2 linked regions of the Cricetulus griseus genome follow. The protein of the gene in region 1 purifies or fractionates together with the protein of each later gene. This does not show direct contact. Links are inferred from orthologs where the notes say so. Each region holds a gene or a part of one and is shown in the gene's direction. Other genes may lie near its edges.

What was found.
Region 2: the proteins of Ptpn18 (region 1) and Pstpip2 purify together in Homo sapiens (affinity purification with mass spectrometry; 4 studies listed by BioGRID and IntAct, with this or other methods). This does not show direct contact. The link is inferred for Cricetulus griseus from reciprocal best matches to the Homo sapiens genes PTPN18 and PSTPIP2.

The regions. Positions count from the first base shown.
Region 1 is NW_023276807.1:13,551,569-13,567,093, reverse strand, and holds the end of Ptpn18 (tyrosine-protein phosphatase non-receptor type 18), read left to right. Parts: intron 1-4,871; coding exon 4,872-4,940; intron 4,941-6,375; coding exon 6,376-6,438; intron 6,439-6,696; coding exon 6,697-6,839; intron 6,840-7,715; coding exon 7,716-7,782; intron 7,783-7,863; coding exon 7,864-7,941; intron 7,942-8,038; coding exon 8,039-8,128; intron 8,129-8,214; coding exon 8,215-8,405; intron 8,406-9,071; coding exon 9,072-9,277; intron 9,278-9,638; coding exon 9,639-9,713; intron 9,714-9,877; coding exon 9,878-9,945; 3' UTR 9,946-9,957; intron 9,958-12,978; 3' UTR 12,979-13,242; downstream 13,243-15,525. UniProt on the Homo sapiens protein: Differentially dephosphorylate autophosphorylated tyrosine kinases which are known to be overexpressed in tumor tissues.
Region 2 is NC_048595.1:162,159,960-162,175,484, reverse strand, and holds part of Pstpip2 (proline-serine-threonine phosphatase-interacting protein 2), read left to right. Parts: intron 1-3,861; coding exon 3,862-3,924; intron 3,925-8,628; coding exon 8,629-8,727; intron 8,728-10,237; coding exon 10,238-10,283; intron 10,284-10,431; coding exon 10,432-10,511; intron 10,512-12,183; coding exon 12,184-12,282; intron 12,283-13,191; coding exon 13,192-13,288; intron 13,289-13,975; coding exon 13,976-14,057; intron 14,058-15,525. UniProt on the Homo sapiens protein: Binds to F-actin. May be involved in regulation of the actin cytoskeleton.

The DNA.
Region 1 (15,525 bases):
GAACGCAGCTTACAACTGCCTGTGTCTCCAGCCCCAGAGGGATCTGATGCCCTCTTCTGGCCTTGTTAGGCATCCAAACACATCTAACATTCACACACACACACACACACACACACACACACACACACACACACACACACACAGCATAAAGCCCCTCTTTCCCCTGAATTGCCTTCTGTTTCTGGTTTATTTCACTTGATGTTTTCAAGGTGTGTCCATGTTGTCACATCAGAATTTCATTCTTTTTAAGACTGACTATGCCATTGCTTTATGTCATATTTCCTTTACTGACTCATGTGTTGATAGACATTTGGGCTGCTTCTACCTTTTAGACTACTTTGGATAATGCTGTTTGCATACACTGGTGAACAGTTATCTGTTTGGTTCTGGGTTTTGTTTTACTTCACTTATGTGTGTCAGTGTGTACTTGTGTCTGTGTGTCAGTGTACCCATGTGTGTGGTTATGGATGTGGCACCCGTGTGCATACATCTCACTATGTCACCCTGGCTGGCCTGGGACTCAATGTGTGGACAAGGTTGGTCTCAAACTCACAGAGATCCACCTGTCCCTGCCCCCTGCTCCTGCCACATTGCTAGGTTTAAAAGGCTTGTGACACTTTGTCTGAATTCTTATTCCTTTTGAAGCAGTATATATGTCCCTGAACTCAGTGCTTGAATTTTCCCAGTTAGCTTCGAAGCCAGCAAGCCCCAGAGATCTTCCTGTCTCTGCCCACTCTGAGCTGGGACTGCAGGTATACAGAGGATGCCTGGCTTGTTATATGGGCTCCGGGATCTGAACTCCAATGCTCATGGTTGTGCAGCAAGCAAGCACTCCTAATTGCTGAGCTATCTTTTTAGCACCCTCTACTTTTAGTTCTTTTAATGTAACTCTGCAGTAGAATTGCTGTTTAATTTTTTTTTTCCACAGTGGCTATACCTCTAATGATTCCACCAGCTAGGGGTTTGAGTTTCTCCATATGTTCACTAACACTTCCTATTTGTGTGTGTGTGTGTGTGGTGTGTGTGTGTGTGTGTGTGTGTGTGTGTGTGTGTGTGTGTGTGTGTGTGTGCTTTTGCACACACATATGGAGGCCAGAGGAGGATGTCAGGTATCCTGCTTTATCAGCTTTATCAACTTTCTGCCTGTTGCCCTAGAGACAGGGTCTTCCACTTAGCCTGGAGCTAGGTTTGCAACCAAGCCCCAGTCATCCTCCTGCCTCTGCCTCTACAGTGCTGGGGTTACAGGTGCAACCCAGTCTTCCCATGTAGGTACCGGGTGTTTGAATTCAGATTCTCATTCTTGTTCATCAGTTGCCCTTACCCATGAACCCTCTCTCCAGCTCAACAGTCATTATTTTACACTTCCCACTCATTAAGAAAACCACTCACAGGAATAGAGAGATGGCTTAGTGGTTAAGAGTGCATTCTGCTATTGCAGAGGACCAGAATTTGGTTCTTAGCACCAACATCAAGTAGCTCACAATCACTTGTAACTCCACCTCCAGGGGATCCAACCATCCTGGGCTCTGCAGGCGCCTGCATTCACATACACATGACCTCCCCAATTGAAAATAATAAAGATAAATCTTTTTTTTTTTGAGACAGGGTTTCTCTGCATAGCCCTTACTATCCTGGAACTCACTTTGTCAACCAGGCTGGCCTTGAACTCAGATATCCACCTGCCCCTGCTTCCTTATTGCTGGGATTGAAGGCGTGTTTTTATCCTGAAGCTATGTTGGTTTGTCAAGGTTTTTGCCCCTCCATCTATTCATATGACCCAGTGTTTTTTGCTATGTAGTTTATTAATATGATATTTGACACCAACTGGTTGTTTTTAATCATTTGTCTCTTCCTGCCTCCCTCCCTCCCTCCCTCCCTCCCTCCCTCCTCCCTCCCTCCCTCCCGGTGTGTGTGTGTGTGTGTGTGTGTGTGTGTGTGTGTGTGTGTGTGTGTGGTGAGTCATAGCATGAGTGTGTGTGGTGGTTACAGGACAACCTCTGGTGTTGGTCTTTACCCTCTGCCTTGTTGGAAACAGGGTCTTCTGTTGCTTTGTCACTAACCCGAAAGCTTCCAGGGATTGTGTCTTCTGTCTTGAAAGAATGCTAGAATTATAAACACACTCTACTGTGTGCAGCATTGCATATGCTCTGGAGATCCAAAGTTGGATCTCCAGCAAGTGCTGGATTTCCCACCAAACCATCTCCCCAGCTCTGACACTAGTAGATTTTCATTGTCAAAAAATTGTGCATTCCTAGGATTAATCCTGCTTGGTCATGATGTATAATAGTTGGCTAGTATTTTCTTGAGAATTTGGGCTCTAAGTTCATGAGACATTGTTGGGTACTTTGTTTTCCTTGTGATCCCTGGTTTGGGTAGGATCATACTCGGCTTTAGTGTGCTAAGTCATGTTCATGCTCCTTCAGGTTTTCTTGTTTTGTTTTTGCAAGGATGTGTGAAGGGTTGGTATTGATTCTGCCTTACTTGTTTAGCAAATGCCACTAGATTGTTTTTTACAGGAGGCAAAAATGTGAGAAATGTTTTAAAGTAGCCACATACCTGCTTTTGTCTTTGTTCTTTACTGTTTTCTATACATTCAAGTTTCTATCTAGTGTCCTGTTTCATTTATATGAGAATCTTCTCCTCATGATTTGCATGTAATGAATTTGCCTAGTTTTTTTTGTTTTTGTTTTTGTTTTAGATCTTTATCTATTATATATACAGTGTTCCTCCTGCACGTATGATTGGATACCAGAAGAGGGCACCAGATCTCATTATAGATGCTTGTGAGCCACCATGTGGTTGCTGAGAATTGAACTCAGGTCCTCTGGAAGAGCAACCAGTGCTCTTAACCTCTGAGCCATCTCTCAAGCACCCTTGTCTCATTTTTTTTTTTGTGTGTGTGTGTATGACAAGGTTTCTATTTTATTAATTTACCTGAGGGGGGAATATGAGTGTGCCATGGCCCATGTGTGTGTGTGGAGGTCAGAGAACAGCTGTTCAAGAGTTACTTCTCTCCTTTGGCCATGTGGGACCTGGGGCTAAAACTCTGGTTGTCAGGTTTGGTGGCAAGCAACTTTACCAGCTGAACTAACTATCTAGCACAAGGTTTCTTTTTTATTCCAATATTCTTAGGATATCACATGATTGCCTTCTGGATTGTAGAATTTCTGAAAGAACAGCCGAGAGTTGGTGGCGCACGCTTTTAATCCCAGCACTCAGGAGGCAGAGGCAGGCAGATCTCTGTGAGTTCGAGGCCAGCATGGTCTACAGAGCAAGTGCTAGGATAGGCTCCAAAGCTACACAGAGAAACCCTGTCTCGAAAAAACAAAAAAACAAACAAATAAAAAAAATGATTTCTGAAAGAAATTGTCATCCCACTTGCTTTGCTTTTAAGACTTTTCTCTTTATTATTATTAACTTTCTTTCTTTTTTATTATTATCATTTTTCTTTCATTTATTTGTCAGTTGGGTCATGGTGTGCTTCAACATCATTTTCTTTATGTATTTCCCCCCTCAGTGCAGATTATCAACTTTATTAGCCTCTAGTTCATCAGCTTTGGGAAACTTTCAGCTTTTATTTCTTCAAGTATGATTTCTGTTCTCCCTGGGACTAGAGAGATGGCTCGGTGGTTAAGAGCACTGACTGTTCTTCCAGAGGAGCCAAGTTCAATTCCCAGAATCTACATGGGGGCTCACAACAATTTGCAACTCCAGTCCAAGAGATCCAATGCCCTTCTCTAGCCTCAGGCACGAGGCATGTACCTAGTGTCCAGACATACATGTAGGTAAAACACCCCAACACATAAAATAGTGAATTAATTTTTTAATTAAATTTTTTTCTGTCCATCTCTCCTCTTCTGGACTCCAGGTATCACCTGTTGTGTCCCACAAAGGACTGATTCTCTTGTTTTCCTATCTTCTCTTTTTGCTTTGTTTCTGTTGCAATGTATTCATGTTCAGCACTTTTCTTTCTTTTTGGGTTTAACCTGCTACTAGTGAATTTCAAGTGTTGTAGAATTCCATTTAGGAATGGTTTTGCATCTCACACTTCATTCTTTGTTCTATTCATCTTTCCATTTTGACTATTTATATTGCTATTTGAAGGTCTTTGCCTCTTTCCTCTGTTGCTTCTGGGTCTTTTTCTGCTCCTTCATTATTTCCCTGGTAACAAGTCACATGTCACTATATCTTTGTTTGTCAAGGACATTGTTATGCTGGGTGTTTTAAGTGCCGCATAGTTCAGTGTCAGATTGTGTTGAAGTGTTTTACTTTTCTAGGAAGGTGGCCAAATCTCTTGGATATTTTATCATCTGACCCTTTCTGTTTCCCTGGTTTGTTTGCGTAGCTCTCTCTTCCCTGAAAATTCTGTGTTGCCCTCTCTGAGACATCACCTGCGCTTCTTTAGTTTCTACAGCTTAGTGACACATCAAGGCAGTAGTCCACTTAGTGACCACAGCCTTACAGCGCTCGTATCTGTGCTGAGAAGCAGTGGTTTATGACTTAGTTCTAGTTCCAGGCCGTAGGAAGATGTCCTGAGCATCTTCTCCCAGTATGATCAAAAGCTTGCCCCTCTGTGAGTTCAAGGCCAGCCTGGTCTGCAGAGTGAGTTCCAGGACAGCCAGAGCTGTTACACAGAGAAACCCTGTCTCAAAAACAACAACAACAACAAACAAAACAAAACAAAATAAATAAATAAATACAAATACAAAAGCTTGACCCTATGGAGTGTGCACGTGTTTAATGTCCCACTCTGTAGCTGGGCTCTATTACAACCCCAGCAGCTGGCCCTTCCACACGTCACACTTAGGGTGTCTTGTCACTCTGGAAGTGACCGCCCTGTTCACTCTTGCCTTTCCTCCCTCCCTCTGCAGAAGAAGTGTGAAAGGTACTGGGCCCAGAAGCAGGAGCCTCTGCAGATTGGGCCTTTCTGCATCACCCTGGTGAGCTGGGGCAGGGATGGGGTGGGTGGGAACAAGGAGGGCTCTGCAGGCATTGGGAGGTGTGGGAGATCTCAAGGAAGATGTACAGAATGAGAAGCCTGGGGCTGGACCTGGAAGGATGAGCCATTTTCTCACAGCTCTCTTACACCGTGGGAAACCCAGAATACTCTGGGTTTGTCATGCATGCCCCCAGAACACAACTTAAAGCTTTTAAAACTTATTTTCACTTTTATTATTTTATTGTTGTCATGAGTGTGTGTGTGTGTGTGTGTGTGTGTGTGTGTGTGTGTGTGTGTTGCTGGAGAGAGAATCAAGGGAATCAACACTTCATACATGCTGTGTAAGTGTTCTTCCCAGGCCCTAGCACTTTTGACAATGTCTACTGTTACCTCTGTAACCAAATCTACCTGTTCAGGTTTCTGCAATTCCTATTTCTTTACCATGTGCAGAGAACTGGAGGAAGTAGTCCTTCATTGAGGAAGTTAACCATTAACAGATGCAATGAGGCCATTCTATTTCAGAACAATAGAACTCTCTTGTGTTGAATATGGATGGATTAATTTGGTTTCTATAGTCATTCCTCTTTCCCTTTCTGACAAAAGTTTTCTTGAAATCTTTGGGAGAAGTTTGGGCCAAAGGAAAATCTATAAATATTATCAGTATAGAAATTTATTTGAATTAAAAATATATGGCTATATTTACAATAACATAATACTTACCTAAAGGAAATATCATTGGCTGTGAAACCTGGTTTTTATTTTTTGTTTTTTTGATTTTGTTTTTTTTTTTTTTTTTTGAGACAGGGTTTCTCCATGTAGCCTTAGCTGTTCTGAAACTCAATCTGTAGACCAGGCTGTCCTCAGACTCACAGAGATCTGCCTGCCTCTTCCTCCCGAGTGTTGGGATTAAAGGCATGTATAACCACCACCTAGCTGACTGTGAAGCCATTTAAAATATTCTTTTGAAGTTAAAAAAAATATGTAATGAGAATGTACAAGATAACAAAACCCATAAGTTCACTGAGGATTGAGAATTGTAACAAGGACACACCAAGTGAGCTAGCCTAACAGAGTCTCAATTGTAAGCCATGACCAGCAAGCTCTCCTGTCTCTTAACCACATGGGAAATAAATCTATGATCCCGGGAATGTAAGAACAGCAGCACAGGTCAGAGAATTTTTTTTAAATGTTTTTTAGTATTTAGCTTTAATCAAGAATGCTTTGCTTCCATCAGGCCTGGTAGTACACGTGTCATCCCAGTACATGGGAAGCTGAGGCAGGAGGATCTCATGCTGGAGGCCAGCCTGGACTCTATAGCAAGACCTGTCTCAAAAACAAAAACAAAACCCAAACCCTTGCTTTCTAGAAATATGAAATGTGTCGCTGAAGGTCTCTGCTTCTCATTTGTTTTCTCTTTCCTCTTCTCACATGCTCAGACAAAGGAGACACCAGTGAATGCAGACATCATTCTCAGGACCCTCCAGGTTACATTCCAGAAGGTACCAAAAGGGCAAAGGTGAAGGGGCTCTTGCATGGGAGGAGCTGTTTCCACGGCTGTAAAATGGGCGCTCACGATAGTAATCAGTTTTCATCCCCCTCGGTTATAACGCAGTGGGTTTGTTTGTCTTTGTGGTGCTGGGGATGGAGCCCACAGCCTTGTACATGCTATATGCAAGGGCTCTTCAGCGGAGCCTTATCTGGTGGATTTAAATGGAACATGCTTAGAACTCTAGTATGTTTTTCTATCCTCTGTTCAGGAATCCCGCTGTGTGCGCCAGCTACAGTATATGTCTTGGCCTGACCACGGGGTTCCCAGCAGTCCTGATCACATTCTCACCATGGTGGAGGAAGCCCATCGTCTCCAAGGAGCTGGTCCTGGACCCCTCTGTGTCCACTGCAGGTTTAGGGAAATGGGCTTTCTGGGGGTGTGGGGAGGCAGACCGGAGAGGGTGAGAAAAGCAAGGAAGAGAGGTTATGGCTTGGAACCAGCCTTCCCCTTTCAGTTGCCTCGTTGGAGAAACTTGTAGCCACATATTCATGATACAACGAGCTGGAGCTGGAATCGTTAGCATTTGTCGAGCACAGGCTGCCTACTGGGGAGTACGCATATAGCTGATATGTCACAAGCCTAAGTGAATAAAAAGGGTTTTCTTGCTCTGAAGAAATAGCTTAGTGGGTAAGGTACTTGCCGTACAAGGACTTGAGTTCAGGTCTCTAGCACCCAGGAATAGCCAGGACAGGTGGCTTGTCCCTGTAACCCAAGGGCTGGGTGAAGGGTAGACATGTGGATCCGTGGGGCTTGCTAGCCAGCCAGTCAAGCCAATTTGTGAGCACCCAGTTTAGTAAGAGACCCTGACTCAAATATAATGTTGATCTCTGGTCTCCTCTGTCTCTGTTTCTCTGTCTCTGTTTCTCTGTCTCTCTCTCTGTCTCTGTCTCTCTCTCACACACACTCACACCATATGAGTGCATGCTAGTGTACATAAAAGGTTTTATTTGAAGTTATAATCTAGGGATCCTTCAATTTAAGAGATGCTGCAGGGGATCTCCCTCAGCTCAGCTCCTAATTCTCCATGTAGAAGGGGCTGTGGCATCTATCTGTACCGTTCAGCAGGCCTGCCTTCCCAGCACTTAGGAAACAGATCCAGAAGTCCAGGCCAGCCTGGGCAACACAGCAAGACCTATGGGAAGGGGGAGGAGAGCAAGAATGGAAGAACGGGGAAAAAGTCGCTGTGAGCAGGCGGTGATGGAGCCTGCTCTGATTCTTGCTTGTCAGTGCCGGCTGCGGACGAACAGGTGTCCTGTGTGCTGTTGATTACGTGAGGCAGCTGCTGCTGACCCAGGTATGAGGCAGACTTCTCTGTGTGCGGTGTGTCCCACACCTGCCTACCACGGCCTGTTCACACTCCCCCTCTCTGTCCCAGACAATCCCACCCAATTTCAGCCTCTTCGACGTGGTCCTTGAGATGCGGAAACAGCGGCCTGCTGCGGTGCAGACAGAGGTGTGTGCTTGCCCCACCTTCCCGTTCCCGGGGACACAGGGAGGCTTCTGTATTTCCCCGGTTTCCCTTCTCAGTGACCGACCACTCACCCCAACAGGAGCAGTACAGGTTCCTGTACCACACAGTGGCCCAGTTATTCTCCCGTACTCTCCAGAAAGCCAGCCCCCACTACCAGAATCTCAAGGAGGTACAAAGGAGCTCCTGGGCAACACTCTCACTCCCCTCCTGAGAACAGGGACCGACTCACTGTGAAAGGCGCCTTTGCCTCCTCAGGGCTCCTTCCCCAGGCTGTCCCCTCATGAGCTTACCTCAGCACCCACAGTGACCAGCATAAGGAGTGTGGCCTCACCACCCTCCCCGCCTGATTTCCTGCAGAACTGTGCCCCAATCTGCAAGGATGCCTCATCTCTCAGGACCTCCCCAGCCCTGTCTGCCACATCCCGCCCTCCAGGCGGGGTTCTCAGGTACTGGCTGACACTCACAGCCCACTGTTTCTCTGACCCACCAACCTCTACAGTCTGGATTAGCTTTCCCTTGCTCTTCCAGACCGTAACTAGTTAGGCAAATAAGTTTTAGGCTCTCTCTCTCTCTCTCTCTCTCTCTCTCTCTCTCTCTCTCTCTCTCTCTCTGTCTCTCTGTCTCTCTCTCTCTGTCTCTCTCTCTCTCGTGTGTGTGTGTGTGTGTGTGTGTGTGTGTGTGTGTATACACTTGTGTGTACACACTACTGGGAGGTCAGAGGACAACCTTAGGCATGGGGCCTCACCTTCTACGTGTTTTGAGACAGTCTAGTCTCATTTTGCATACTGTCAGGCTGTGGGGGACTCACCTGTGTCTGTCTCCCATCTCATGTAGGAGTTTTGGGGTAACACACACACACACACGCTTGCCTTCGCTTGGGCCTTCACTAGTTCCACTTGGCAATCTGTCCCCGTCCCCTCCTGCTGTATGGGTACTAGGGACACGGAACCCCGCTTTCAGCCCTCGGGTGGCCCGCCCCTTCCCTCCTTTCCTGCTCTGGGGACTGGGGCAGGCAAGCAGGAAGGAAGCCGGCAGCCTGGGGTGAGCTTGCTCCCTCCCCTGCTCTCCCTGTGCTCGGCGCTTTCACTTCCTCTGCTTGCTGCCCGCTGCAGGAGCATCTCGGTGCCCGGGCCCCCGACCCTTCCCATGGCCGACACTTACGCCGTGGTGCAGAAGCGTGGCGCCCCCGCGGGCACAGGGCCGGGGACGCGGGTGCCTAGCAGCGCGGACGCCCCAATCTACAGCCAGGTGGCTCCGCGTTCCCAGCGGCCGGTGGCACACACCGAGGACGCGAGGGGGACGACACCACCCGGCCATGGTGAGTCGGGGCCCGCCCGGGATGCGGGGTGAGGGCGACCCGCGCGCACCTGTTCCCATGTTCCCCACCTGCTCCGGGTGGGGATGGAGGGTCTAAGCGGCAGTTCCAGACCTATTCTGGCCTCATCCCGGGACTCTTGACTGTCGGGGTTCAAACCCGAAAGTGAACCCCATGTCAGGTAGGTTTCAGTTGAGAGGTTGGGTCTAGCGGGGCCCCAAAGACAGACCTCCGGACTTGGCGACGCCCAAGGCTCCGCCTCCAACCGGCTACCTCGGGAAGACAAGTCTGGGGCTGAGCTCTAGAGTCACTGGGACTCCAGAAGGCTGCTTGAGCTGACCCGTAGGGTTTCTCCCGCCCTCAGTTCCTGCGGATCAAAACCCTCCCGGGCCTGATGCCTATGAAGAAGTAACAAATGGAGCGCAGACGGGTGCCCTCGGTAAGTCAGTTAGAGCCCAGGGTGCAGTTTTGGAAAGCCCCAGGAGTTTGGGAGTGCGGGACTCAGGCTGTCCTTCACATACCAGGATCTGGGGATGCACGGATGGGGTTTTCGGAGAGTTTACCCTTTCACGCTTCAACTTCTGCATGGCACCCTTCTCTCAGGCTTCAACTTGCGCATTGGAAGACCCAAAGGGCCACGGGATCCTCCAGCGGAGTGGACAAGGGTGTGAGGGCTGTGCCAGGTAAGCTCAGTAGGGGCTGGACTTCTGCAGCCAAAATGCTGCTGTGCGCTGTGCTGGGAACAGGATTTATGGGTCTGCATCAAAACAAAAGTTTCTCAGGGTGGAAAAAATAAGGGTTTTGCCCAATGGTTAATAGCAATCAAAGCCCGAGGCTTGGAGAGGTAAGTGGGAGATCGCTGGTTGTGAATCTACCCTGAGAAAAATTAAGAAAAAACATCAGGAGTAGGCATTGCAAGCCCCCTCCGCACATACCCAAGAGGATATAATAATCTATTGGTAAGCTTCCAGAGATGGAACCCTCCCCACAGAATGAGAGATATATCCTCAGTACTGGGACCTCCTTTGCCCGGACAATCAGGTGACCACAGGGGGATGAGGCAGATGGTCCCTGAGGATAGGTCGATGGCCCTCATGCTATTCAGACAGATCCAGGTCAAGTCTAGCTATATCCAAGTGGACTAACCCCAGACAGGCAGAAAGAAAGAAAGAAAGAAAGAAAGAAAGAAAGAAAGAAAGAAAGGAAGAAAGGAGATTCTAGATAGGAAAACATATGGTTCACCAAATTTGGACATTGAGCTAGATCCCTAAATACCCACACCTCTGGAGGGGTTGTCTATGGCAAAACAGATGGACCTCAGCCAGAGAGAAATCAATCAATCAATAGCCTTTAAGACCAGTCCTAGCCAGTGATCCCAGTCCCCCAAAGTCAGACCCTCCCTCTGTCAGCTAGAGAGCCAGATAGACTCTAGCTAGACAGAACTCCAGACATAAACAGATTCCAGATGAACTGAGAGACAGACATCCCAGCTAAACTGTGCAGACAGACTGACCTTCCAGCCATACACAGAATGGGACTGTATAAACATCACAGGTCATCTGCTAAACTCCCAATTGTCTAGACAGATGGAGCTTCTCCTACATAGAACTCCTATTTGGGTGGACACTTTGGCATTTCTCCTTTTTGTCAGATAGCTGCCAGATAGTTGAGTCAACTGGCCAGATATACATCCCTAGTTGGGCATGCATGGTCTGGATACATCCCACTATTCAGACCATGAACAGCTAGCCTGACCTGTCATAGTCTCAGGTAGAATCCCAGCTAGCAGATTGATGGACTTCCAGCCTTCATCTAGATAGGGACTCCACATAATGGCTGGACCTTTGGGTGACAAACTACCTTCGGATAGAGATAGATGGATCCCGAGTCAAAATTTGCCAGCCAAATTCCAAGCTAGATAGATAGATAGACACAAGCTAGCCAGATTACCAGGCAGGATGCCAGCTGGTCAGACATAATACTGTAGATGAGCAGACAAGCCTCCCAGATGAGTACAAATACATCTCCAGCCATACAGGTGGGGGCACAACAAATTAGAATCTGTCTAGGCAGACCCTGAGGAGGCAGAAAGGCCTATCCAAGATACTGAACACAATAGTTCACAGTTTGTAGTAGACAGTCATCCTTGAGAAGAACAATCAGGCTGCCACTTGGCAGACACACCTGCGGCCAGCTACATAGACCTCTAGCCTAATAAGACAGATGAACCAAACCCAGAGTGACAGACCTGTCACCTTCTGGATAGACACTAGTGAGACAGAAGACTTCACTGGAAAGTGAACCCCAGACAGAGTCCTAATTTGACAAAACCCTCAGACAGATGCCTGCCTGAATTGACATGCAGGTCTCCAGCTAGAGAGACATATAGCTAGACTCTCACGTAAACTCCCAATGAGCAAGAAAGATCTCCAGCTGGTCAGAGAAATGGATCACCCAGTCAGATAAATAGTACGCCATCCAGAAAGACAGAACTCCAAACCTTCTTTCTTGAGATGCAAGAAAGTAGATTCTCTTGAGATGGGAAGACAAGAATAAAATATATGCAGAATTCTCTGCCCCTGCCCCTGCCCCTGCCTCCCACCCCCCATGATGTCCACAAACAAGTCAGCATCCATATGACAGTTGTTCGTCTAGTCACTTCTGGTTATACTTTCCGACAGGCTCTTGGAAAGGCTGTCTTGAATTTGATGAAGGCTCTTACCAGGAACTTGCTTAGCTGGGCACACATTACTAGAATGATTGTTAAGAGAGTTCAGTAAGGAGCAGGTTGAAAATTCAGTCCAAGAGCTTTACACAGTGCTTCATGACTGTCAGACCACAATCAGCCCCAGGCTCCCAGGTTCACAGTGGTCCTGGGAAGTCATTGCCTTTCGAATATTTTTTTTAAAGGAGTATGAAACATGCCTTATTTGGCCACAGTGTCTGTTGGCATTGTCAAATGCTTGAAGATCTTTGTGCCATGAATAGCTCTGCAAACAGGAAGTGGGGATGAGGAGGAAACCTTGGGAATCTTCAGCCCCTCAGTTGAATCTAAACTCTAAGAGGAAAGTTGGGGCTGATCATGCTGAGAGTCAGCTTGCAGCAGAGAAGGGTCAGGGTGCCTTTTTTAAAGCATGGACTGGGAATGACCACCCTATAGTGACAAAAGGAAGGGCAGAGGAGGGACAGGGTGTCATGTTGTACATAGGTCAATCTCAAAGCCAAAACTATTGAATTAGTTAGTCTCAAAGACCATCAAAGAAAACAGTAAATTCCTGGAAACAGAGCTGTTGCAGAAAGAGGAAGAACAAACAGTTCATCCTGACAGAAGAGAAACCAAAGTTCTCTCCAGGAGGCTGGAGCCAGGATGGTTTGCAGTTGATAGGGTCAGTTCTGAGCTCAGGAAAGGGCCGTACAGGTCTTAGCTGCCCCATCTGAATATAAAGAGGGGCTGTGCTGAGTCCAAGAGAGCATGTCTCTAGGATCAGCTGGATGGGGAGACTCCCGGGTAATCTGTTGGCAGGTCCTGCCAGGTCTACCTTGGATTCTACCCTGAGCCAGGCTGCTGCTCACTTCTGACTGGACTCTGCAGCCACCTTCCTAACCTTCTTCTTATTCCCCCTTTGCCCAGGATAAATGCCAGCTGGATAGGTTTGCTGTTTTTTAATTCTGTATGATAATTATATTGGATTTCAACTTGACAGAGTGTAGAATCACCTAGGAGGCACACATCTCTGTGAGAGTCTATGGATCCGATTAGTAGAAGTGGCCCACCCTCGGTGTGGACAGCACATGCCCTGGGGTCCCGGACTGAATAAGAAGAAAGTGAGCTGAGTACCTGAATTCATCAATGCTTTCCGACTGCAGATGTAATGCCACCAGCTGCCTCATGCTCCTGCCATGACTTCCTCACCATCATGGACTATACTCTGGAACTGTGACCCCCAAATAAAACCTTCCTTCCTCAAGTTGCTTGTGTTAGGAATTTTGTCACTAATACAGGAAGTCTGGTTTTAATAAAGTCTTAGGCATTCTTTGATCTTGTTCCAAAGAAATGGGGATCTTGTTGTTGTTGTTGCCAAGGCTGACCTTCAGCTCCCAATTCTCCTGCCTCCATTTCCCAAGTTCTGAGATTATTTATTTATACCTGTAATCATTTCTTACTTTTTATTTTGAGACATCATCTCAGTAAATTTTCCCAATCCAGCCTTGAACTCATGCTTTAGTCCATACGTATCTTGAGGTCCTTTTCTTTGTTTGTTTAGTTGGTTGGTTTACCAGACCTGGTTTCTCTGTATAGCCCTGGCTATCCTGGAACTCCCTTTGTAGACCAGGCTGGCCTTGAACTCACATATCCACTAGCCTCTGCTTCCTGAGTGCTAGGAGTAAAGGTGTGTGCTACCACATCTTCTGGCTATCTTCAGTTTATAATCTTTCTGCCTCAACCTCCAGAGGAACTAGTTACAAGTCCATGAACCAGGCACAGCTGTTTCTGTTTCTCCTTCTCCTTCTCCTTCTCCTTCTCCTTCTCCTTCTCCTTCTCCTTCTCCTTCTCCTTCTCCTTCTCCTTCTCCTCCTCCTCCTCCTCCTCCTCCTCCTCCTCCTCCTCCTCCTCCTCCTCCTCTCCCTTCCTCCTTTCTCTGTTGCTTTGGAGGCTGTCCTGTGAGCTCTAACTCACAGAGATCCGCCTGCCTCCACCTGCCTCTGCCTCCCAGGTGCTTGGGTTTAAAGGCCTGCATCACCACCGCCCAGCTTGTTTCTTCTTTTAAAAAAAAAAAAAAAGAAAGAAAGAAAAGAAAATAGACACATTCTTCCTTTCCTTGGTAATATAAGGCCAACCTTGTTTGCTTCCTTGCTTCATTAGGCAACTATTAATCCACCTTTTGAGACCTGATGGAAGAGGGTATTTGTTGGCTTCATGACTAGTTAGGTATATAGGGAGAAGAGTTTTTACGAAAATCAAAGTGAAAGTTAAGTGGAATCTGAATCTGAGATATCTTGTCTCAGGCAGAATGTCCAGTATCAAGAAAACAAATGACAATTACCCGTGAGGATGTGGTAGGAAAAAAAGGAACTCTTTGTCCCCTGTGGGTAGGAATGTAAACTTGTGTGGTCACTATGGAAATCAGTATGGAGATACCTCAACAAGTTTGAAATAGAACTACCAAATGACCCAGCTATACCACTGTTGGGTACATACCTGAAGGACTCTTAGTCAACATATTATGGACACTTGAACATGCAGGTTTGGAGTGCTGTGTACTCTAGCCAGGAACTAGAGCAGTTGAGAGGTCCATCAACAGATGAATGTATCTTTAAAATGTGGTACCCATGCACAACAGAATTCAATGTGGTCATAAGGAAAAATGAAGGCATGGCATTTGCAGGGTGTGATTGCAACCGGAACTTACTATGTTATGAAAATGATGCTAGACTCAGAAAGACAGTAACCACATGTGTCTCTATGTGGAACCTACATTTAAAATGGCATGTGTGTGCATGTATGTTTTTAGGTCATGAAACCAAAAGGTGATCATGAGGGAGTGAGCTTAAAGGGGGCAGAAAGTAGAGAGGTAATGGGAAGGTAAAGCAGTGGTGCTGGGGGGCGGGGAGCAGCATTTGGATAAAACACATGGTTCCTTCATTCTTCTACCCCCTTCAATCCCCTGCTTTTCCAACATCAAGTATTTACATATCCCCTCTAGTAATAATTCCATTAACACATGCTACTTTGCAAAGAGTCCCATGTCATTATTCTATTGAGCAACTGAACTCTTTGGTACTAGTTGGACAGATAATTTTAGTTTTAATATGGACTTGAGGACATGGTATTTGGGTTAGTGGAAAGTTTTAAAAATTATGGGTTTGTGCATGTATGCATGTGTGTGTGTGTGTGTGTGTGTGAGAAAGAGAGAGAGAGAGTGAGAGAGAGTGAATGTGTATGTGTGTGTGTGTGTGTGTGTAAGAGAAAGAGAGAGAGTGAGTGAGAGAGAGTGAACGTGTATGTGTGTGTGTGTGTAAGAGAAAGAGAGAGAGTGAGTGAGAGAGAGTGAACGTGTATGTGTGTGTGTGTGTGTGTGTAAGAGAAAGAGAGAGAGAGTGAGTGAGAGTGAACGTGTGTGTGTGTGTGTGTGTGTGTGTGTAAGAGAAAGAGAGAGAGAGTGAGTGAGAGAGAGTGAACGTGTATGTGTGTGTGTGTGTGTGTGTGTGTGTAAGAGAAAGAGAGAGAGTGAGTGAGAGAGAGTGAACGT
Region 2 (15,525 bases), on another chromosome or scaffold:
GTCCTCACCTCTCAGGATGAGCGACTTTGCCTACAGTTTCAAGTTGGAGTCTGGGTTGGCACTAATGTGTCGGGTTGCCCACAGCATCTTAAGAACCTCCCTGTCTCACATCCGCCATCATTTCACCAGCTGCTTTTCCCTTTGTTTGTTTGAGACATGGTCTCATGGAGCCCAGGCTGGCCTCCAGCTCACCGGATAGCTGAACCTACTGCCTCCACCTGCTGAGTAGTAGGATGCAGACTTGTGCTGCTGCGCCAGGCTTAAGAGCTGCTCTCTGCACACCACTGCCTCTTCCTATTTCTCAGCTGTTGCTTGTGCAATGCCTCTTAGCATGAAGGAAGGACAGATGCAGATGGTTAAGGAACGCTGTATCAAACACTTTCATACGCTCTCTCAACCCTTGAGGTTGCATCTGTCACAAAGCCTTTTTCCAAGCAGAATTATTGTGTGTGCTGTACTCGTTGGATGGCAGATTCTTTTGTCTGACATTGCCAAGTCTGCCATGTCTTTGAGGAAATTACAGTTTTTTTTTTTTTGAGACAGGGTCTCCCTATGTAGTTCTGTAATTCTCTATAACTCTAGGCTGGTCTATAACTTAATGGAGATCACCCTGTCTCTGCCTCCCAAGTGCTGGGATTAAAGGTGTGCACCACTGTTCCTGACACCAGGTTTTTAAAAGTTACCTTTTAATTATCTATGTTTTAATACTTTATTTTTTTAATGTGTATTGATGTTTTGCCTATGTGTGCGCTTGTGTGAGGGTGTCAGATCACCTGAAACTGGAACTATAGATAGTTGTAAGTTGCCATGTGGATTCTGGGAATTAAACCCTAGTCCTCTGGGAGAGCAGCCAATGCTCTTAACTGTTGAGCTATCTTTCCAGCCCCTTACTTACCTATTTTTTTAATTGAAATAAAATTGCATCAGCCCCCTTCTCTCTCCAGCCTCTCTTAACTACCCACGTCTGACCGCTCCCATGTACCTGTTCCACAAAGGGTTCTTTTTTTAATTTTTAAATTTGTGTGTATGCATGCATGTCTGTGCATGCGTGTGTGGGTACACATGGATGCTCTGGATCCCCTGGAACTGGAGTTACAGGAGTTTGGGAGCCACCTGACATGGGTGCTGGGAACCAAATGTGGGTCCTCTCAACTGCTGAGTTATCTCTCCAGTCCTGACAGTTTTTGTCTCTCTTCTCCTCTCCCTCCCCTGCTCCCTCTTGAGACAGAGTCTCTCTCTATAGCCCCGGCTGTTCTAGAATTCACTACATAGACCAGGCTGGCCTGGAATTCACAGAGATTCACCTGCTTCTGCTTCCTGAGTGCTAGGATCAAAGGCATGTGCCACCCAAATGACAGCAAAGGAACTTGGAGGTTGTAAAGATGGCTCAGCCGTTGAGTACTGTCCTTGCAGGAGATATAAGTTCCATTCTCAGCACTCATGTTAGATGGCTGATGACCATCTGGAAATCTGCTCCAGGAGTATTAGATCCTTCCAGCCTCCATGGGTACTGCATGAGCACACACAGACAGGCACAGATATACAATTTGAAAAAATGCAAGCTGAGTGTGGTGGCATACACCTTTAACACCCTGGAGGCAGAGGCAGGCAGGTCTCTGCAAATTCAAGACCAAGCCTGGTTTACACAATGTGTTCTAGGCCAGTGGGAGTTACTTAGTTTAGCCTTGTCTCAAAAAGAAGGGAAGGAAAGAATAACTAAAAAGTTAAGGAGAGATCGTGTCTTATGTGGAACAGTTAAAAAATAAAAGAAGCATAATACCTTTGTCAATGAACTATGCATATGTGACTCCACTAAAAAAGGGCAGTTTCCTCACATCCTCAGGTGTCTTCAGAAGCCCTGTTCTTTGTGGGGAGAGCTGTTAGCTCTGCACAGCTTCTGGAACTTTCCCGCTAATGTTACACATGCCAAGTGGTTGGAGTGAGAGGCGCAGAAGAGCATTGCACGCTCACTTCAAGTTCCCTTCTCAGCAGGAGTCACTTTCAAAACGTTGAAAAGTTTAGAAAATTGTAGTTATGCATTTCACAATGGACTCTGGGGTGGCTTTGGGTACCTTTTTTTTTTTTTGAACACTTTTAGGGGAAAATGTGTCAATGTTAACTTCCCTTTTTAAAATTGTCACAGTGCATGCCTTGGCTTTCCACTTCTTAGAAATCGAGCTGTTTCCACTCATCAAAAGAACCAGTCAGTTGTTTGCTTTTCTTTCCACTCTTTCTTTTTCTCTTATGCTGCTGGTTGAATCCAGGTTCTTGGCTGTGCTATGCAAATACAGTATAGAGCTGTGTCTCCTCATATAATTTACTGATTTAGTTTTAAAAGCCTAATAAATTTTTAATAGGATGTTTTATATAACTTTATTTTTTTTAAATTTAGATTAAAAAAATCTTTAATCCCAGCACTTGGGAGGCTGAGGCAGGTGGATCTCTGTGAGTTCAAGGCCAGCCTGATCTACATAGTAAGATCCAGGAAAGCCAAGGCTGCATAGTGAGACCCTGTCCCAAAAAACAAACAAGTCCTTATCTTGCATATATGAGTGTTTCGTCTGCTTATGTCTGCATACCATGTGTGTGTCTGGTGCTTGTGGAAGTTAGAAGGAAGTGTCAGAGATGCTCCTGAGTAAGAGATGCAGCTGCTATGAGCCACCACGTGGGTGCTGGGAATTGAACCCAGGTCCTCTGCAGGAGCAACAAGTGCTCTTAATTGATGAGTCATCACTCTAGTCCTGTTTTCTTTTTTGAAGTTTCATTTTTCTTTTCTCTGTGTGTGCATGTGTGTGTGAGTGTGTGTGTACGTGTGTACATGTGTAAGTGCATGAGCATGTCCATGCATATATGTACATGCCATGGTGTACATGTGAACATCAGAAGACAACTTGCAAGAGTTGGTTCTCTTCTCCCACTGTGTGGGTCTTGAGGATTGGATTATCAGGCTTGGCAGCAAGTGCCCTTATCTACTGAGACATCTAAACAAGGCCACACCTCCTAATTATTCCCAAACAGTTCCGCCAATTAGAGTCCAAGCATTCAAATATACGAACCTCTGGGGGCCATTGTCATCCAGACCACCACACTGACTTTGTTTCTTTGGGCTCACAAAGTTCATTGCCATCAGGAAAATGGCGAAGTAGTACTTACACAGAATGCTTCATATAGAAGTGATAGATGAATGGAAGCTAGAAAAACTGTGTCTGAGAGGTAGGTATTTATTATGAGCAGCATTGTTTTGGCCAACAAAAGTACCACCATCGCAACTGCAATGAAGAAACCATGCTCAGGTGAACTACATGGAGTTTACCTTGCTGGCTTAGATGAGGCAGAGGATTGTTTCCATTAGCGGTGCCACAGATACCTCCTTCTTCCCCTGGTGACTTGTTGTAAAGTGTTTGTCATTGATGGGCCACAGATGTGGAGGTTGAGCTCCTAATTGTCTGTGCTGACATAGCTTTCAGAATAAAGCTGTTTTTAAAATACAAATAGTATTTTAATAAAATTTAAAATTCCTTCTTGAAACCAAAGTCCTTGATTCTAGGTTTGCTGAAGAAAGCACTCCATGTGATTAGTGAGTCTTCGGTGGTGTTTTGAGCATTCAGGACCCTGCGTGGGAGTGCCTGGCTAATTAAGATGCAGCATCACTAATTTCCTGTGACTTCTTGAGCAAGGAGTTTAGTCTCTGTTGTGTACTGTCCCCATTTGTGACGAAGAGACTGTAGATAGCATATTTCGCTTCTGGGTGATACGAAGGCTAAACTGGATTACCCATGTTGAATGCTTAAGCCCTCAAAACAAGTTGCTGTTAGCAGGAACTTGCAGTTTTTATTGACAGTGTTTGCATTCTCTTCACAGACAGAAACTATAATGGATGCTGCCCACAAACAAAGGAACTCACAGTTCAAGAAAACCATGGATGTGAGTCACACTTGTTGCTGCTGTTTTTGTAATGGTGACAATTATTGGGAATTCTGTGCTTGCGCATGAACATGCTCCTACTGAAATGATGTTTCAATGATGCCATTTATCAGGGAGCTGTTAAGGGAAACACTTGGCTTTCCTTCCTGCCAAGGTCCTGGGAAGCTTGAAGATGGGAGAGTGCGTGCAGTGCTGTTTTGTTTTTGGTGAGCTGGCTGTAGAACTCGGTCCTCTGGACATGGCATGACTATTACCTTCTAAGTCAGAATATCTGTGACTACCAACATCCCTAGTAAGACTGGACCCAGTAAGATTCTCTCCTGCAGGAAAGGGAGGCTCACAGGGCAGCGAATGAGTGGTCACAAGCAGGATAAGGGGCCTTACAAGGCCATGCCTTCAACAAGGACCGGGTAGATAACAGCCCTAGGTAGGGGCAGACTTTTCCTCTGCGGTGTAGTTACCCATAAGTTGTTTATGCTTCTGTAAGTGACCTTTCACCCTTGTTCCTATAAATGTCCACAGTCAAACTCATTAGTCCACCAAGCTGGATTTGAGTAGAATCATCTCTTTGGTCTCTTGGTATTTGATGGTATTGTTCATCTCTGCTGGAATAGTTCACATAGCAACTATAAAAGTAAGCAATTCACTTAAATATTTTAGGATGTGATACAAAAGCATGTGACACACAAATGTACACACACATACACACAATGTACACAGACACACAGGTGCACACACACATATATACACACAGAGACACACACACATAGAAATATTCGCACACTATATACACACTACATGCATATACACACATATCCTATTTATCACCACACACACACACACACACACACACACACACACACACACACACACACAATTTATCTTGTATTTGAACTTTCTATCTCATGGTGATTCTGAACCTCGATTGTTGCTCATTTTACTGGATGAACAACATCTATGGCCTGGGCTCTGAGTCTGAATTAAAAGGGGAAAAGGGAAAAGGCCAGGTGAACTCCAGCATTTCCCTTTCTCTACTTCCTGGTCCAATCCACTGAGCTGTGAGGAGTGAGGAGGAATAGGTTCTGTTGCCGTGGACCCCACCATACCTTTCCTGCCATGATGGATGGTGAACTAAGGTAAATCCTTGCTCCCACCAGCTGCCTCTTGATCACAGTGGTGACAAAATACCAAATATATTCTTGGTCACATGAGGTGATGCTTACTCTTTACTGTTCATTTAGTCCACTATCTCTTCTGTTCTTCATCGGGCTTTTGTATTTTCAAACTACTCTGCAATTCCGAGATTTCCTTTTTGCTTCTATTTCTTTCCTTAGCTTTTTTTTGTATCTTTGCCATGCTGTTTTGCTTTGGTTTGTTTTGGTGTGTAGTTGTTTGAAGGATTCTTTGCAGTCTTGGTCGGACAATTCTTTTTTTTTTTTTTTTGATTTATTTATTAGTTCTAGTTAGGGAACAAGTTGTAAGTCCCTTCTCCCTCTCCCTCCCCTCACCCCCAACCCTCCTCCCCCACCCCAACCCCCCCACCCACCACTCCCCAGGCAGGGTAGGGCCCTCAACGGGGGCTCTGCAAAGTCCACCAAATCTTCCTGTGCTGGTCCTGGGCCCTTCCCCATGTGTCCAGGGCCAGAGTGTAACCCTTCACATGGCATGGGCTCTCAAAGTCCCTTCTTGCACCAGGGAAAAATACTAATCCACCACCAGAGACTCCCTGGAGTGCAAAGGCCTCCTTATTGTTGGTCAGACAATTCTAAAGTTTGTCATCTTGATTGTCTTTGTCCATTCAGTTTGATATTTTTTTTTCTAGTTTTTGGTTTGGGTGATACTCAATTGATTTGGATATTTAGGGTATTACAGAAAAAGGTTTGGGTTATTTAAGCCATGTTTTAGCTGGTTTCCTGTGACAGCATGCCAGTAGGAGGTGATACAATTGCTTCATTACTCTTATCTGGGGTTAAGAGTTCAGGTTCCCCTTTGTCCTCATCAGATGTTCCATTTTCCACTAAACTTCCTCTGCTACTACCCCAGGAGGGAAGGGACTTGACTACTGTAGGTCCAGTAGGTCAAGTTGGACAAGGAGGGGTAGAAGTTCAGGTTCCTCACATGGGGACTACTGCTCCTGTCTTGAAGAAGAGACACTGCAGTTCCTGTTGCTGTTGATCTCTCTTCAGATGATCTGGGTGTTACAGCGTGGTAACCATGGGAGTCTAGACTCTCTCATTGGCTTTTACTATCTTGTGCAAGTGAGCCCTAGTTTGTTTATTGTTGTTGATTTTGTTGGTGTGTGTGTGTGTGTGTGTGTGTGTGTGTGTGTGTGTGTGTGTGTCTCATGACACTCATGTGGAGGTCAGAGGAACCTTGTGGAGTCAGTTTTCTCTTTCCACACCTTACGTGGGTCTAGGGTGGTCAAACTCAAGTCAACAGGCTTGCACAGTGAGTACCTTTACCCAATGAGCCGTCTTGCTGGTCTGAGTCCTTGTTATTTATGCTGTGTTTAGTATCAGGGGACTGGTTTTTTTTTTTTTAAGTTTATGTTTTTGTTAGGTTAGCCTTTTTCTAGTCTTTTGACTAAGGAGAATAGGTAAAAAATATTTTGAGTTGTTACTGTATTTTTGAGCCACCTGCTTCTTGGAACTGGATCTATAATGTACGAGGCAAGGAAACTCACTCTTGGGTTGCTCTTTGGCCAAAGGTTACTAGCCAGTTTGTCTTTGTGAATTTTCACTCTCAGAATCTTAGGTTGGTTTTATATATAATGCTTTGGAGTTTTAGATGCCATAGCAGGGTGGTGGTACATATAGACAATCCCAACACTTGGGTGTCTGAGGCAGGAGGATCATGAGTTTGAGGCCAGCCTGGGTTACATAGCAAGTCAAAAGCCAGCCTGAACAACATAATGAGACCCTGACTCAGAAAACCAAGGGCTTAGATATAGCCAGTGGCAAAGTTCTTCCCTAGAGTTCAGAGCCTTAGGATCCATTCTCAGTACCTCAAGGAAGTGTGGAGGTATAGTGATCATGTTTGGTAGAGAGAGAGATCTCCAAGGTGTTGCATAAAAGGAATTATTATACAGGTCTTTTTACATGATTATTATGCATTTTCATATAATTATGAAAACCAGGAACATACTATTTCTATAATAAAATTTTACATGCTATGTAATTATAGAGTATATAGCTAATATAACATAACAGACAACATATAGAGAAAGCTCATGAAAGAATAACCACAGTTGAATTATGGAAACTTACTTATGAGAAATATAGGGAAGTGTGTATAATAATAAACACAAACCACCTCTCCAAAGAAGCCACTGTCCTTTGGAGATCATCTCCAATTGAATGAAACTGCTTCTGTGGGCTCAATTTCACATGTCCACATGTAAGAACTATAAAAGTACATTTTGTGTCTTATTTTGTCTTCATGTACCTTTGGACATAAGAATCCTTGGTTTATAGATGGGGAAACAAAAACACAGAGATGAATTTATTAAAAACAAAACAAGTACACAGATATTGGTGAGGCCGGATTTGAACCTCTGCAGTCTGGTTCCAACACTTGATCTCTGTTTCACAGGCAGCTGAAGAGAAATAAACCAAGAAATAAGTTGTATTTTTGGTTGTGAGCTAAGCCTTTGGTGTCTGAGCCATCTCTCTAGCCAAGAAAGGACATCTTCATTCTTAGTCAAGTATAACTATCATATTGACTTATTTGTTAATTGTTTGATCCATAGCTTTGTTTTGTGTTGTTTAAACAAGCTAAGGCTTTGTTTCTAGACCTGAAACAAACTAATTTTCTTGATTTAACAATTGTTAGAGTTTGTGAAATGATTCTATAATCCTGGTAGTAGTAGTGGTGTTAGATAGGCCATTGGCTACTTTAAACTGACACCAGGAAATAATCAAATTGAGGGCTAAAATCAATAAAGTAGAAACAAAGAAAACAATACAAAGAATCAATGAAACAAAGTTGGTTTCCGAGAAAATCAACAAGATAGACAAACCTCTATCCAAACTAACCAAAAGGCAGAGAGAGAATATGCAGATTAACAAAATCAGAAATGAAAAGGGGGACTTAACAATAGACACAGAGGAAATACAGAGAATCATCAGGTCATACTTTGAAAACCTGTACTCCACAAAATTGGAAAATTTAAAGGAAATGGACAATTTTCTGGATAGGTATTACTTACTAAAATTAAATCAAGAACAAATAAGCAATTTAAATAGATCTATAACCCCTAATGAAATATAAGCAATCATCAAAAGTCTCCCAACCAAAAAAGAAGCCCAGGGCCAGTTGGTTTCAGTGCAGAATTCTTTAACCTATGTTGAACTGAAGTCTTTAAAAAGAAACATGACCAAAGTGGAAGAGACATAGCATTGCTGTGCCCCTTGCTGTGCATGGCAGTGGCTGGGAACTCTAGAATACTGATGCCTGTTGAGAACGAGAGGAAGTTGGTTCCAGTGACTGAGTGATTGCATAGACTCTAAGGATTATAAATGTCACACAGATGTTGGATTACACATCTTAGATGTTATATACATGGGGGTGCATACAATCATATTGCTGTGTATAATTGTATGAAAATTTCAAGAACAAGGAAAAATCAGAAAAATTAGTTATATACACTTCAAGTCCCATTTCTTACCCTGCTCACCCATATTCACCCTCTGTTTGTAAACAAAGGCCAAGAAGAATTATGAACAGAAGTGCCGGGACAAGGATGAGGCGGAGCAGGCTGTCCATCGCAGTGCCAACGTGGCCAACCCAAGGCAGCAAGAAAAGGTACCTAGCATGGTCTACAACCTGAAGAGTCAGAGATGCACCTGTGTCAGTTTAAAGCCAACTTAGGGTTTGGTATGATGCACATGCATGTCGCTCTAGGACTCAGGAGGTTGAGGCAGGAGGGTCACGAGGTTAATGCCAGACTGGGCTACAGAGTGAAATCCCATCTCAAAAAATAAAAAGAGATTTCTATCCCAAGTCTCTGGCAACAATGTTTTTGGCTTGTAAACTTCAGAGTAAAACCAAAAGTCCTTGTAACACTTTTTTTCCCCAGGAAATTATTTTATTAGTTCAAATTAGAAACAAGCCTGCTTCACATGTCAATCCCTCCTCCATCTCCCTCCCCTTCTCCCCTTCCAACCCCCTACCTCATCTCCTCTCTGCTCCCCAGGGAGGGTAAGGCTCTCCATGGGGGATCCCCAAGGTCTGTGGTATCATCCCGGGCAGGGCCTAGGCCCTCCCCCATGTGTCTAGGCTGAGAGAGCATCCCTCCACATGGAATGGGCTCCCAAATCCTTTCTTACACCAAGGCTAAATACTGATCTACTACCAGAGGCCCCATAGAGTGCAGAGGCCTCCTCACTGACATCCACCTTCAGGGGTCTGGATCAGTCCTGTGCTGGCCTCCCAGATATCAGTCTGGGGTCCATGCGCTCCCCCTTGTTCATGTCAGCTGTATCTATAGGTTTCATCAGCCCCGTCTTGACTGAAAGTACCAGAGAAGCACACATTGGAGAACAGTGGGTGGAATGGGAGGCTTGATTTTTTTTTTGGTTCTTTTGAGACAGGATTTTTCTCTGTTAGCTTTGGAGCCTGTCTAGAACTTGCTTTGTACACCAGGCTGGCCTCAAACTCAGAGATCTGCCTGTCTCTGCCTCCCAAGTGCTGGGATTAAAGGTGTGTGCATCACCACCTGGCTTCATATTCTTTTTAAATGTCTTCAAACCTCAGCTCATGTATTCTTTGTTGACAGAATACTTCTTGTGGGTGAGGGTTCTACATTTAATAATATGGGCTGAAATAATAATATTAGTAAATTAAATAATACATTTAGTAATATGTCTGGAACAATGGCTCAGCAGTTAAGAGCACTGACTGCTCTTCCAGGAAATCTGAGTTAAGATTCCCAGAATCCACATGGCCACTCACAACCATCTTTAACTCCAGTCCCAGGGTATACAACACTTCTGATCTCTTTGGGTGCCAGGCACAAGGTGGTACACAGACATACATGCAAGCAAAACACTCCTACACACAAAAACTATAAAACAAATTAATAATGTATCATCTGAATATAGTATTATCCACAGCTTGAGGGCAAGGAGATGTGTCTGTAGGAAGACATAGGATTGTTGTTTTCTGATGCTGAGAAGATGAAAGATTGATCTGCTTCTAAGTGCAGTGTATGTAGGGCTTGGACCAGATCTTGCTTTTCCAGCACTATTGCTTTCACAAGTGTTTGCCCGTGGGATAGGCTTTCCTAATCTCTCTCTGGTTTTGGTCCTCACAGCTTTTTGTGAAACTGGCAACTTCAAAGACTGCAGTAGAAGATTCAGGTGAGGGGCAAGGTGCTCTGACGGGGGTGGTAGTGGTTGGGGGCTGTTTACATTATTAAGAATATGTAGGATTAACGGGCATCAGAAAGGAACAGCTACAATCCAGCAAGCCTGTCTTGTTTCTAAATCAAGCCCCTGCCCATTGCAGACAAAGCATACATGCTGCACATCAACATGCTAGAGAAGGTCCGAGAAGACTGGCAGAGTGAGCACATTAAAGCCTGTGAGGTAGGTACCTGGGACTGGAAGCAGTGTGAGACTGAGCACATCTTCCTTCCAGAACCTGAGAATCTGCTCTCATTTTAGTGCTGTAATTTAAGAAAAGCAGCGTGAGAGAGAAAAATGCCATGAGATGCCAGGGTTCAAGTGGAGGGGTTTTTATTAGGGAAAGGGATCGTAAAAAAGGGGAAGGGGGGGGGAGACTGGCCTCCAGGGAAGGGAGCAGCAGGAGAGAGGAAGCAGGGTGGGGTTAGGGGTGGGGGAGTGGCGGGGGGGGCAACAGAGAGAGGGAGAGAAAGAAAGAGGGAAAGATGGGAGGTGGGCAGGGCCCACTTAAAAGGGAACACAGTGAATAGGCACAGGTGGCTGCAGGTGAGGGCAAATCCTGTTAGTACCCTAAGGACAGGCAGTACAGATGCCTGAATACTACTAACAAGCACTTCGTGTTTCATTCAGGCATCGAGCCCATGGATGAGTTAGAAACTGAGAATTTAAGTGAAGACTGGAAGGGATTGGAATGATTTCATCTAATCCTCATCCTTTTGCCACCCCGCCCCCCAAAGCCTGACCTCACTGTCCAGGTCACTCCAAAGCTAATGGTTGCTTAGCGCAGGCATGATCCCGATACATCAGTTAGTGGTGGGTTGAGCACTGTAATTATTCCGAGAGTCAGGCTTGTACTTGCTAGGTTCTAAGGGGAATACACAGGACTCCATAATTTTCTAGAGAAAACTTAAAAGATACAAGCTGGAAAGTTCCTCAACTTTCTGATGTCAGTTTTTAACAGCGTCCCGGGGCCAGCAGAACCAGCATTATCTTCGGACTGGGTAAAAATATGGGCTCTCTCAGCTCAGTCCAGGCCTTCTGGAGTCAGGAACTCTCAGGGTGGCAGCCAGCAGTGTCAGTGAATTCAAGAATTAGGCGTGCTGGTTTACAGCTCTCCTTCAGGAGTTGCTCCCTGCCCTGTCAAGGAGTCTCATGCTGTCCAGCTGGCCTCTCTACACCCTTTGGCACAGTCTTCTCCCTTCTTAGCCAGAGATATACTCTCTCTTTTTGTCCTTGACTCTGTCTCCCTCGATGTGCATGTGCACATGGGTGCTTGTGTGTGCGCCCACGTGTGGGTGCATGTATTGTGTGTGTTCGTGTGTGCCTGTGTGTGCCTCTGTGTGTGTGTGTGTGTGTGTGTGTGTGTGTGTGTGTGTGTGTGTGTGTTGGGAATCAATATCAAGCCTAGGTCCTCATGCTTGTATGTGCTCTACCACTGAGATATGTTCTCAGCCAGTCATGTTTTTTTGAAGTTGTTTGCATGTCCCATGTTTCATCCTAAAGGTTATTCTCCACACCTTCTTTCTCCTCCCTCATGGATACCTGGGATGCCCTTGGTGTAAGGTCCAGTGGGCCTTTGTGGTTTCTTATGCATGCTAGGCAAAGCACCACTCCAGTGAGCTGTACCCCCAGACTAACACTGGTGATTTTTAAAAAAAATCTTATTTGATTGATCTCGTTTGATTTATCGCTACAATTTGATACTCAGGAACTTTATGCCCACACTAAGTACTTTTTTCTGCTTTACTTTTTAAACTCCACTCCTCAATGTAGGTTTATGTTGTTTAAGTCATAGCCAGTCTAAACGGATGTCCCTTCTTTATGTATTTATACACATGTAATTGTTTTTCTGTAGGCGTTTGAGGCCCAAGAATGTGAGCGAATCAGCTTCTTCCGGAATGCATTGTGGTTACATGTAAATCAGCTGTCACAGCAATGTGTCACAAATGATGAAGTAAGTCATCGGCATTCACAGAGGGCTGTGCTCTGCAGGTTAGAATCATCAGAGCAGAAAAGAACCATCAGTGTTTATTAGTTCATCCTCTCCCCACTTCCTGCTTCTATTTGAGGTACAGAGAGATAGTGACTTGAGTATTGCTTTCATTTTCCTGATTCCCAGTCCATTTTACCACGGTTACTCTCTAAGTTAGGGGTGGACAACAGATAATGAAACCCAAACACAGTTTTGTGTGTGGAAGACAGATGTCACAGAAGAATGTGAGTCCCAGAGACAGCTCCAGTGTAGAGTGCCATCACTTCCTGCACCAAGTATTAGCAGACTGACCCATGGCAGGTTGATGGTCACCCAGGGTGAGGATTTGCTTTTGTGGCTTCATGGTGCTTGTCCAGAATTAACTTGTGAGCAGCAATAGTAACTGGGTCCCCAGATATCAAAGACACCAGGTGAGGTTGTCACAGCCTTAGCTAAGAAATAGCCCTGATCTTAGGTGGGACATGACTTTAGAAGAATGATCAGATATCCAGGAAACCTATAGAACTGAGAAGAACTTATCCACAAATTAAAGTAGTTGTGTTTGCATTTGTGTGTGGCACTGAGACTTGGTCATGGAACTTGTCTCATGGGGCTTGGCATGTAGTTTCTTTATTCCATCTATACTTAAAAGAAGTAACCAGGGTTTTGGTCTGCCCAGAAAGAAGTATTTCCTTGTATCTTATTTTTTTCATTTAAAAAAGGCAATAGAACAAATGGACTATAAGGGTGCCCTTATGTGAGTTTTGGACTTGGGAATGTCTTCTACTCTTAAAACAAAGTCGAAAAAGAGTTGGTGGCTCATGAAAGTTGAGTGGTGCCATAATTATCATCAATAAACTTCTACATAATGCTTTATCTTGTTTTTGTCAGATGTACGAACAAGTCCGCAAGAGTCTGGAAATGTGCAGCATTGAGAAGGACATCCAGTATTTTGTGAACCAGCGTAAAACTGGACAGACCCCACCCGGTGAGCCGAGTGGCACAGTGGGAGGGACAGTTAAGCAACGGTATTAGTCTTTCTTGTCTTGGGTCACAGAGGATGTAAGATACACTGTATTAGTCAGCTTCTGCTGCTGTAGCAAATACCTGATGTGAATCGGCCAGTAAGACACAGGTTTACTTTAGCTAGAGTTTTCAAGGCTTTAGTCCAGTCAGTTGATGCAGGCTGTATTGAGGCAGCGCACTATGACAGACAGTGGCCCAATGGACTGTTCATTGTACAGCCAGGAGATGTGAAGGAGGAGGAGACCAGGGCATGCCCCCAATGGCCTGACCTGGTATATTCCTACTGGGTTATAATTCTTAAAGGTTCTGTCGCCTTCCTTTAGCACTAAGCTGGGGACAAAGTCTTAACACATAGGCTCTTGAGGAGCATTCTAGGTCTTTATACCTTTTTTTTCTTTTTTGAGACAGGGTCTCATGTATTCAAGGCTAAAATTAAACTTGCTGTGCATCTGTGGATGGCACTGAACTCCAGATCTTTTTGCCTCCACCTCCTGAGCACTGAGGTGACAGACATGTGCACTCAGACCTGTCTTATGAAGCACTGGGTGACAAAGCCAGGGTTTTGTGTATGCTAGGCAAGTGCTCTACCAACTGTGAGACAACCCCAACCTTTACCCTTTTCTGATACCTTCTGTCTTAAAAATTGTAGCACCCATCATGTATGAGAATTTCTACTCTCCTCAGCGGAATGCAGCCCCACCAGGAAAGACTACAGGGCCCAATGTAGCAAGGTAATAACCAACTGTTTTTCATGTGAAGAAAAAATCTTAATAAGTGTTTATATTATTAATGATCTAAGATATTACCTTTAATTTTAAATTGACCAAAATTTGCATAATTTACCTATTAAGGAAACTGAGTTTTTTTGAAATAGCATTTTTAGAACAAATATTATATAACCTTTATTAATTGCAGTTTCTGGGGTACTATAGTATTACTTGTTTATGAATTCTATGCCTTCCTATGGTTGGAAGAACACAGGAATGAACAAACTATGCCCCCATTTGAGTCAGATCTCATCTGCAAGTTTTCATAGGGCCTATGAGTTAAGAAGGATTTCTCTCTCTGTCTCTGTCTCTCTGTTTATTTGAGACAGGACCTCACTCTGTAGCCCAGACTGGCCTTAAACTCACAGAGATCTTCCTTCCCCAGCTCTTGGGTACTAGGATTAATTGCAGTCATGAGCCATTATGTTTTTTTTTAAGATTTTATTTATTTCTTATGCATACAGTCTTCTGCCTGCATGCCATCAGAGGGCACCATGTCTCATTGCAGATGGTTGTGAGCCACCATGTGGTTGCTGGGAATTGAACTCAGGACCTCTGTAAGAACAGTCAGTGTTCTTAACTGCTGAGCCATCTCTCCAGCCCCTGCCATTATGTTTCTTTTTAATTATTTTTAGCTATGTGTAAGTGTGTGTGTGTGACTGTGTCATTGCATGCTTTGTGTATGTGAATGCCCACAGAGGTCACAAGAGGGCATCAGATTCCTTGGAGCTGGAGTTACAGGTGGCTGTTACTGGGAGCTGACCTTGGCTCTTCTGAAAGAGCAGCAAGCACTCTGCAGTCTTGAGCACTGATTCATCTCCCCAGCCCTGGCTTATAAATTTAAAATGACTGGTGTTCATATAGAAAGCCATTGGAGCATAATCAGTGGATCTCTCTTTTTATCTGGCTGTCTTCCTACTAGATCTAAGCAGAGGTGTGCCAGAGACATTGTGGTCAGCAAAGTGGAATGAGCCACTTCCATTGGGCCCATTGACAAAAACAAAATGTGCTGCTCCTAATATAAAGGGTCTTGAGGGAAAGAAACTTTTATTTCACACCAAGCCAGTGGGGGTGGGGTGGGGATGAGGTCTCATCTGTCGAGTTTTCTGTCCAGTCTTAGGGAAAGTGGTAAGTGTTTAGGAGAGGTCAATGCATACTGTCAATAGTAAGGGCCTTTCAAAACAGTAATATGACTGAGCTGACAATTCTCCCAGAGAGGGGAGAGCTGTTTGTGTTTCTCATCCTATGTACAAAGACTCTGATACGCCAGGGGGTCAGTAAATTTTGTTCCAACAGCTGAAATTAAAATCGAGACAGCAGGCCCTGGGCAGAGCTCCACACTCCTGACTGCTGTGCAGTCTGCTTGTTGGCTTCACATGTGCTTGCCTTTTGGGTTTCTGCAAGTCAGGGCTGCAAATCATTTGCCTCATCT